2 linked regions of the Xenopus tropicalis genome follow. The protein of the gene in region 2 binds, or shares a complex with, the protein of the main gene of each other region. Links are inferred from orthologs where the notes say so. Each region holds a gene or a part of one and is shown on either strand. Other genes may lie near its edges.

Evidence for each region.
Region 1: eif3d (region 2) and eif3e share a complex: the UniProt entries of both Homo sapiens proteins name them as parts of the eukaryotic translation initiation factor 3 (eIF-3) complex. The link is inferred for Xenopus tropicalis from reciprocal best matches to the Homo sapiens genes EIF3D and EIF3E.

The regions. Positions count from the first base shown.
Region 1 is NC_030682.2:133,675,108-133,678,934, forward strand, and holds part of eif3e (eukaryotic translation initiation factor 3 subunit E), read right to left. Parts: intron 3,366-3,827; coding exon 3,239-3,365; intron 2,008-3,238; coding exon 1,906-2,007; intron 401-1,905; coding exon 291-400; intron 1-290. UniProt on the Homo sapiens protein: Component of the eukaryotic translation initiation factor 3 (eIF-3) complex, which is required for several steps in the initiation of protein synthesis.
Region 2 is NC_030680.2:123,536,267-123,540,093, reverse strand, and holds part of eif3d (eukaryotic translation initiation factor 3 subunit D), read right to left. Parts: intron 2,896-3,827; coding exon 2,763-2,895; intron 2,670-2,762; coding exon 2,522-2,669; intron 1,440-2,521; coding exon 1,309-1,439; intron 1-1,308. UniProt on the Homo sapiens protein: mRNA cap-binding component of the eukaryotic translation initiation factor 3 (eIF-3) complex, a complex required for several steps in the initiation of protein synthesis of a specialized repertoire of mRNAs.

The sequences.
Region 1 (3,827 bases), on a different chromosome or scaffold from region 2:
AAAGGGCAAAACCTGAAGCTGGATCTCTTCTTATACTCCATAAATACAAACGCCCCAAATAAAAACCAGTTTTTAATCAAGCAGGAGTTATAGACAACACAAATCCTTCTCCCGGGTTTTATACACTGTAAAGGATATAGTGCATATTGTTTTTAGATGAACACATTTAGTATGGTATGGTTTGCTTCTATTTATACAATCCATTAGTACAAAGTCCTCCCACAGACTCCTAGGATGATGTAAAGCCATGCTACCTTAGAGTGGGTATATCAATATAGAGAAACATTTACCTGATGCTTATACACTGATGGATGCGACAGAAAGTCTCAAATATAAAGAGTCTGGCATTTTCAATGAAGTCTTCTAGGCAGGCCACAAGGAAGAAGTCATTTACCAGCACCTAATAAGAGGGAGAAAAATACAATGTTTATTATGAGTGTAATAGTGAGCAAGTGTAAGGTTTGAAGGAGAAGGAAACCCTTCTGACAAGGGTGATGCAGCATGGTTGACAAGCGCCACCCTGGATCATTCAATTTTCAATTGTTCTTCATTTTTATTATTTGTGGTTTTTGAATTAATTAGCAGCTCTCTAGTTTGGAATGTCAGCAGCTGTCTGATTGCTAGGGTTCAATTTAACTGCCTGACTAAGCAGTGGTTTGAAAGAGACTGGAATATCGATAGAGAGGGGCCTAAATAGAAAGATAAGTAATACAAATTAAAAATAACAAAGTAGTAGCCTCACGGAGCAACAGGTTTGTTTTTGGTTTCTGGGGTCAGTGACCTCCCATTTGAAAGCTGGAAAGAGTCAGTAGAGGAAGGCAAATAATTGAAAAAGTATAAAAAGTGAAGACCAAATAAAAAGTTGTTAAGAACAGGCCATGCTATACAGAAAACTACAACAAATGATAATGCCAATACCCAGTGTCTCCTATTTAATAAATCTTCATTCTTGACCATTTCTGTAATAAGACTGTACTTTATATAACCTTATAAATGATTTTAACAAAGCTGCATTGTGTTTACGGCAAAACAGTCCTATTGGGTTTTAGGTAGCCTCCAGGCACAGAGCTCCAAACTGCTCCGGAAGATCCAAGGTTCCAAGCATTCTGTCGAATACATCCCATATCTGCACAGGTCTAAAACAGTCATAACCCCCATTACATGACTAAGGGCACAAATCACTACGTCCATTTTTATGACTCAGTACACAACATCATTAAAGCCATTACAATGTTTAATAAGTCCAGCTTAATTGCACCAAAGCATATGCAGCTGCATTCCTTATGTACCTGCACAACATGAGGCACAAACACACCACAAACGTATTTCCTTTCAAGCTCTGTCACCATCATTATCAGTTGTTCTAATTAATATCAGATCCATCCTATCATCACTTCAAATGGTGTGGTTCACTGTTAACTGGGTCATGAAACTTTCAGATAAAGCTCTCCTCTGAGTAATTGAATAAAAAAGCCCCAAATCTTGAATAACATATTGAGGTTTACGGTTCTAATTATCTTGAGAGTGAACTAAGGTCTCAGGCTCTACAGTACTCTTCTGTCAGGTTTCTGTAATAACTCCTACCATTGTGGATATCTCCCTATCCCTACTTTGTCATACTAGGATCTAAAGCTAGCCATAGAACATGAAGTCAGATCATTTCAGTAACAAATAATTACAAAGAGGGGGTGTTGTACTGCCCTACTGATTCAATCACCACTAGCATCACACAAAAGTACCACTGCCTTTTCTTGACTGGCAGTCTGAATACAGGATAAGAGAATACAATAAACCACGCCACTATAATACGGTATTGGGCTCAGCCTTGGGGGGACATCCTGCATAAGCACTATATACACATATTCAACACAGCAATTTATACACTGCAATAGGCAATTTACTCACCGATTCGCATTCTCTTAACTTTTTCTGTGCTCCATCAAAGTCAAAGTTGACATATAAGCATTCCACAAACTCAGTAATCGGGTCTTTGTAAGTGTAGGATTCCTGTATTAAAAAAAAGTGAAGGCATTATGAACAACATTTACACCCACCATTCCGTTGTGTAAAATTTTAAATGGATTTACAGCATCTAAACTTTTCTCTAGAACACGAAGGCATGCAATTCAGGCATTTTAAAGGAGACATACAGGATAACTAAACGTCCCTCCAACGTTGTAGGCAATAATGGTTATATAAAATAATTCCTATTAAAAAAATACCACTTTATTGGAGCTCCCTATAGACCAGGGGTCGGGAACCTTTCTGGCTGAGAGAGCCATAAACACCACATATTTTAAAATGTAATTCCGTGAGAGCCATACAATATGTTTGGCCGCGGATTCTGCGGGGCAAGGTAGGGTGGGTCCCAAGGATGCCGGATGCAGATGAGATGCAGAGGAGGGCGTGGCCTGCGCTCGGCGGATAGAAGACGTGTTCTAAGGCTTAGAACACGTCTTCTATCCACCGAGTGCAGGCCACGCCCTCCTTATATTTTTTATTAAAGATTTGGCAGTGAGCCAGATGCAGCCATCAAAAGAGTCACATCTGGCTCCCGAGCCATAGGTTCCCTACCCCTGCCTCACTGGCCCCTGTCTGTTTCAAATGTGGAGTGGGCGTGTCCTAATTGCCCCTGCCAGAAGCACAGTAGGAGAGGGATAGCCAATCACAGCCCATCAGTCACACAAGCAAAGACAGGCTTCAGGTCAGTCTAGCAGTTGATTGGTCCCTTTTCTACAGTGCAGTGTGCTGAGTGCCAGTGGCTCCCCTGCACAGCCTGGGAAAGGAGACACAGCCATGTATTATATTATATTATATATATATTACATTAGATCTAAACACAAATTGGTGATTTACACTACCCACGTTTCAAGCAACAACTGCAAAGGTTTTTGTTGTGTCTCATATACCTGCCTATATCCCACAAGTGCAGGGATGCTGGCTGCAGTGTTGCTTAATGAAACAATGTTTTATAGGCAAGTTACAGCTATATGCAATTTGCCACTAGTCAATAAGCAAATTATAGCTGGGGCACTAGCAAAACCTTCAGCAGATACTGTTTCGTCAGCTTCCTAAAAGTTTTTTTCATAAGCAGAAATAACATTACTAAGACCTAAAAATACGTGTACTTAGTGTGAAACAAACACACTGAAGTGTTACCAATCAACTACATGTAGAAATATAATTATTCCGTTATAGACCATTTGTACAAGGTGGGAAAATGTTATTCTATGCCTACCTGTTGGATGACCTTAACCAAATCTTTTAAGACTTGTCTTCGTTTCCTCACATCTTTGTTGGTGATCACGGCAGTCGTCAGATATCGGAGAATGTGCGGACACATAGTCTGAATGGCATTCAGGTATCTAAAATTGAAAACATCAAACATTTAAAAAAGCTCCATGTTGCTAGAAGGGTATAGTTTTCTTTTAAAGGAAAACTATATCCCCAAACAGTATAGGTCTTTATACAAATATATTACATAAACATCTAAATAAACCATTTTCATAAAAAATGTAGTTTTTAGCAGTATGTGCTATTGGGTAATCCTATATAGAAAACTGCCATTTTAGGCCCCATCAGCCAATGAATGGGCAGAGTCCTGCCTTTTGCTTCCACACTACTTCCTGTTACAGTTAGAGCTGCATCACTTCCTGTCAGCTGATCACTGAGGGAGCACACAGCCCATCACAAAATGGCAGCTCAAGGAAAAGGATGTAAAAGGGCAATATTTACTGATATATGTATTCCAGTGTGGCAAGATTGTTTATATTATGTTAAGTGACCTATTAAAGAATCTGTTGGTTAAGTATTTATTCTGGGGTATA
Region 2 (3,827 bases):
GAGAAAAGGAAATTCCTAGTTATAAAGGTGAAAAGTCTTGCATCTTGTAATCCATTTGTCATCTCACCAGCCTTGAAAAAAAGATTGTGATTTTGAGAAATATATATCATTATTAAATTAACCCGAGGGACACAGGACCAAAGTTGTCACCTAGAAAGAAAATCAAACAGAGGGCAGCAGGCGGAGCCAAAAATGACCAACACCTGCAGAACTTTGCATCCAAAGCATTTGTGAGATGCTGCAAAAAAAAAAAAAAAAAGTGTAGAAAAGAGGGCCAAACGAATGCCAGAGCTGATATTTGGTTCCTGAAGGCCCATGAAGTACTCCAGACCTGGTCCTAACCTTGGCACTTAGAAAAAACTGAGCTGTACTGTAGGATATGGCTTGAGAAGGAGGAGCCATTTTTGTTCCTTAACAGTAACACCAAAATATGAAAGTGTTTTAAAGTAATTAAAATATAATGTACTGTGGCCCTGCACTGGTAAAACTGGTGTATTTGCTACAGAAACGCTCCTATAGTTTATATAAATAAGCTGCTGTGTAGCCATGGGGGCAGCCATTCAAGCTGGAAAAAAGGAGAAAAGGCACAGGCTACATAGCAGATAACAGATAAACTCTGTAGAATACAATGGCATTTTATCTGTTATCTGCTAAGTAACCTGTGCCTTTTCTCATTCGAATGGCTGCCCCCATGGCTACACAGCAGCTTTGCTTATATAAACTATAATAGTCTTTCTGAGGCAAACACACCAGTTATACAGTGCAGGGTAACAGTGCATTATATTGTAATTACTTTAATACGCTTTCATATTTTGATGTTACTGTTCCTTTAATGTCCTGCCTCATACAGGTGGAAGCTATACCTACAGTCCCTATGTCCCCCAAAGCTATAGTGAGAGTAACTGGGTCCAAAAAAGCACCATTATAAATTCTCACATACATATGAGACACACTTGGCACCCAAATTCCCAACATAATAATACACCCTAGTACAGCCTGCCTATTGAGTGATACCAACTATTTCCAGCCAACTAACTACAAGTAGATTTAATCATACTATGAACAAGAGAACATTATGGGTAGCATATAAAACATAGGTGCTCAGTGACACCAGTGCATTTGCTCATACAGCCAATCAGATGTATGCTTTCATTTTCTGCTAACTATTAAAAGTAAATTGCAGACTGCTTGCCATGGGCCTTTGCTGTTAAGAAATTTTATCGCCAATGTTAGTAACTGAGGCTTCACTGTCTATAGGCTTCTATATGCCTATATTCTATATGAGGCTTCTATAGTCAAAGCACTCACCATGCGAAGGCATTGCTGGGAGAAATTGTGGTTGATGTAAGTGGCCTCCATGGCCAGATTCCGTGGGGAGTTTAAGGAGTTCACGTCATCCTGAGGGGGCTCATTGGCAGTTTCGCTCACGGTGAGCAAATCTAGAGAAGGACATAAAAATTAAGCAGCGTGCCAAGAAAAACACAAGAGAACTAAACACACAAAATCATGTACAGAAGCACTTTTCATTGCATGCCAATCAAATCATGGCTTTTATATCTATACAATCTAATCAAGACAGTATTACATAAGTAGAGTAGGAAAAGGAGTTTTAGGGCTATAAATAGTGCACACAGGGCATTTTTCATGCCACTATTTATCCTGGCTCACTTCCAACAAAATATCCAACGGATCAGGCCACAGCCAATAAGTTTAATTTCACTTAATTAACAACTGTAGTTACAAGTGCCTCTTACCTTTGTGTACAAAGTGAAGCAACTTGTGCTAATCCCTAACTTTGCCTTTTTAACGTTATCTTTCCACAAGAAAAGTTACCTTGATCAGCCCCATTTTCCATTTGCATAAGTCCATATCAGAGATTTAGACTTTACTAAGATAAACTATGTAATTTGTTATCTGTCTATGGAAACAACTGCAATATAACATTATGTTAAGGTTGCAGTTGTTTGTGCATTTTACACAGTCATTCAATATGTATCACTATATAGAACACTAATGGACCTAGGTGGAGCAGGCGGCAAACTATATTTAAGGGTGTCAGGTTACACATCTAGACCACCAGGTTCAGCCATTTGCTGTAAAATATTTGAACACAGAACATTCTCAGACAATACTAATCTACAGGCTACCTTAAGCCCAATAATAGTGAAGTTAAAAAAGATATTCTATCTATAAAGCTTACTGCATTTGTGACACAGCAACCCTAAGGCTGTGAGGATACACAAGTTTGAATCTGCCCTCTAGGGCTTTACCTATCTCATAATGGCCATGGCGACAGTGCACAAGGAGCTCTGGGCTTCTGGAGGGCTTGCTAGCCATTCTCCAGTACTGATCAGTATGCTCAGTGATGTGATTATATAAAGCTAACAAGGGGAAGCTTCAGAGGCATGCATCTGGACTCTCAGCTCCCCTTCGTACCTCCAAGCTACTATATTAGGGTTTGAGGCTTTGGTTGCTACAGAGCTCACAAAGCTTAGACTGGTGCCACCTTTTGCCTACTCACCAAAGTCTGAGTTGTCTCTCTTGTCAAAGAAGATCTTCGACCCCACCCTTTGGACCACAATGTCCCAAGAATTGACTGAACGTGTGCAACACATAAGCGTGGCAAGTATAGCATCAGTAGCAAAGACATTGCCCTGAGTTTTAGCCAACTATGGAGAAAGAATACAAGAAAAGTTATTAGGTGTCAATACATCACAAGGTTTAATTTGTAGAAAAAAAGTCCAAGCAAAATGGTACCTCACCTTCCGAATAACAGGATCATCAGTGGTAGTCACTGTGTGAAATATTCTTTTAATACTCTTCAAAGGTCTCTCATTTCTGGTGGTAATGCGATCGAATGCTTTGTCATAGAATTCCAAGGCCCCACAGCACTCTCTGGCATGAGGAATGAGAAGATTTAAAATACTTGCCTAGATACATTATTTCCAAGAAATAATTAGCATTTTATGTAGGTTAGCATGCAATATTAATATTGCATTTAGGCCGCCGCCTACAGAGCAGCACGATGGTGAAACTGACACAGTTCTTGTGAGTTCTGTATATAATGCCTCAGCACAGAAACCTTCTGAAACTGCCTACAAAAGTACAATAAATAAGGAAATTAATGTGGCTTTGCATTATTAAAGAAACACTAACACCAATATGAAAGCACTTTAAAGTAATTAAAACGTAACGCACTGTTGCGCTGCACTGGTAACACTGATCTGTTTCCTTTAGAAACGCTACTACAGTTTATATACACACTCTGCTATGTAGCCATGGGGGCAGCCATTCAAGCTGGGAATAAAAGGAGAAAAGGTGCAGGTTACATGGTAGAAACCAGATAAAACACCTTTTTTTTTACGTATTTTACAGGGCTTATCTGCTACATCACCTGTGCCTTCTCCTTTCTCCAGCTTGAAAGGCTGCCCCCATGGATACACAGCAGGGTATTTATATAAACTACAGTAGGGTTTTTTAAGCAAACACACAACTTTTACCAGTGCAGGGCAACAGTACATTCTTTTTTTTTTTCATTACTTTGATACATTTTCATTTCTTGGTGTTACTGTTCCTTTAAAGTGGAAGACATAAGAATACATTTTAGTATCTAGGTTCTTAAAAGAAATATGAGCAAAGGGTGGGCGTGGAATCCGTATTCTAGTCAATGGCCCTAACAAGCAGAAACGATTTCACTTCGAAAAATGAAAACCCAATTAATACAAATCCAGCAAAAAAGATAAGTTGCAAAGCTGCTTAGGATACTGCCATCTAAAAGACACTACAATTAAAATAAAATTCCCTGTTAATGACAGGTTTGTTGAAAG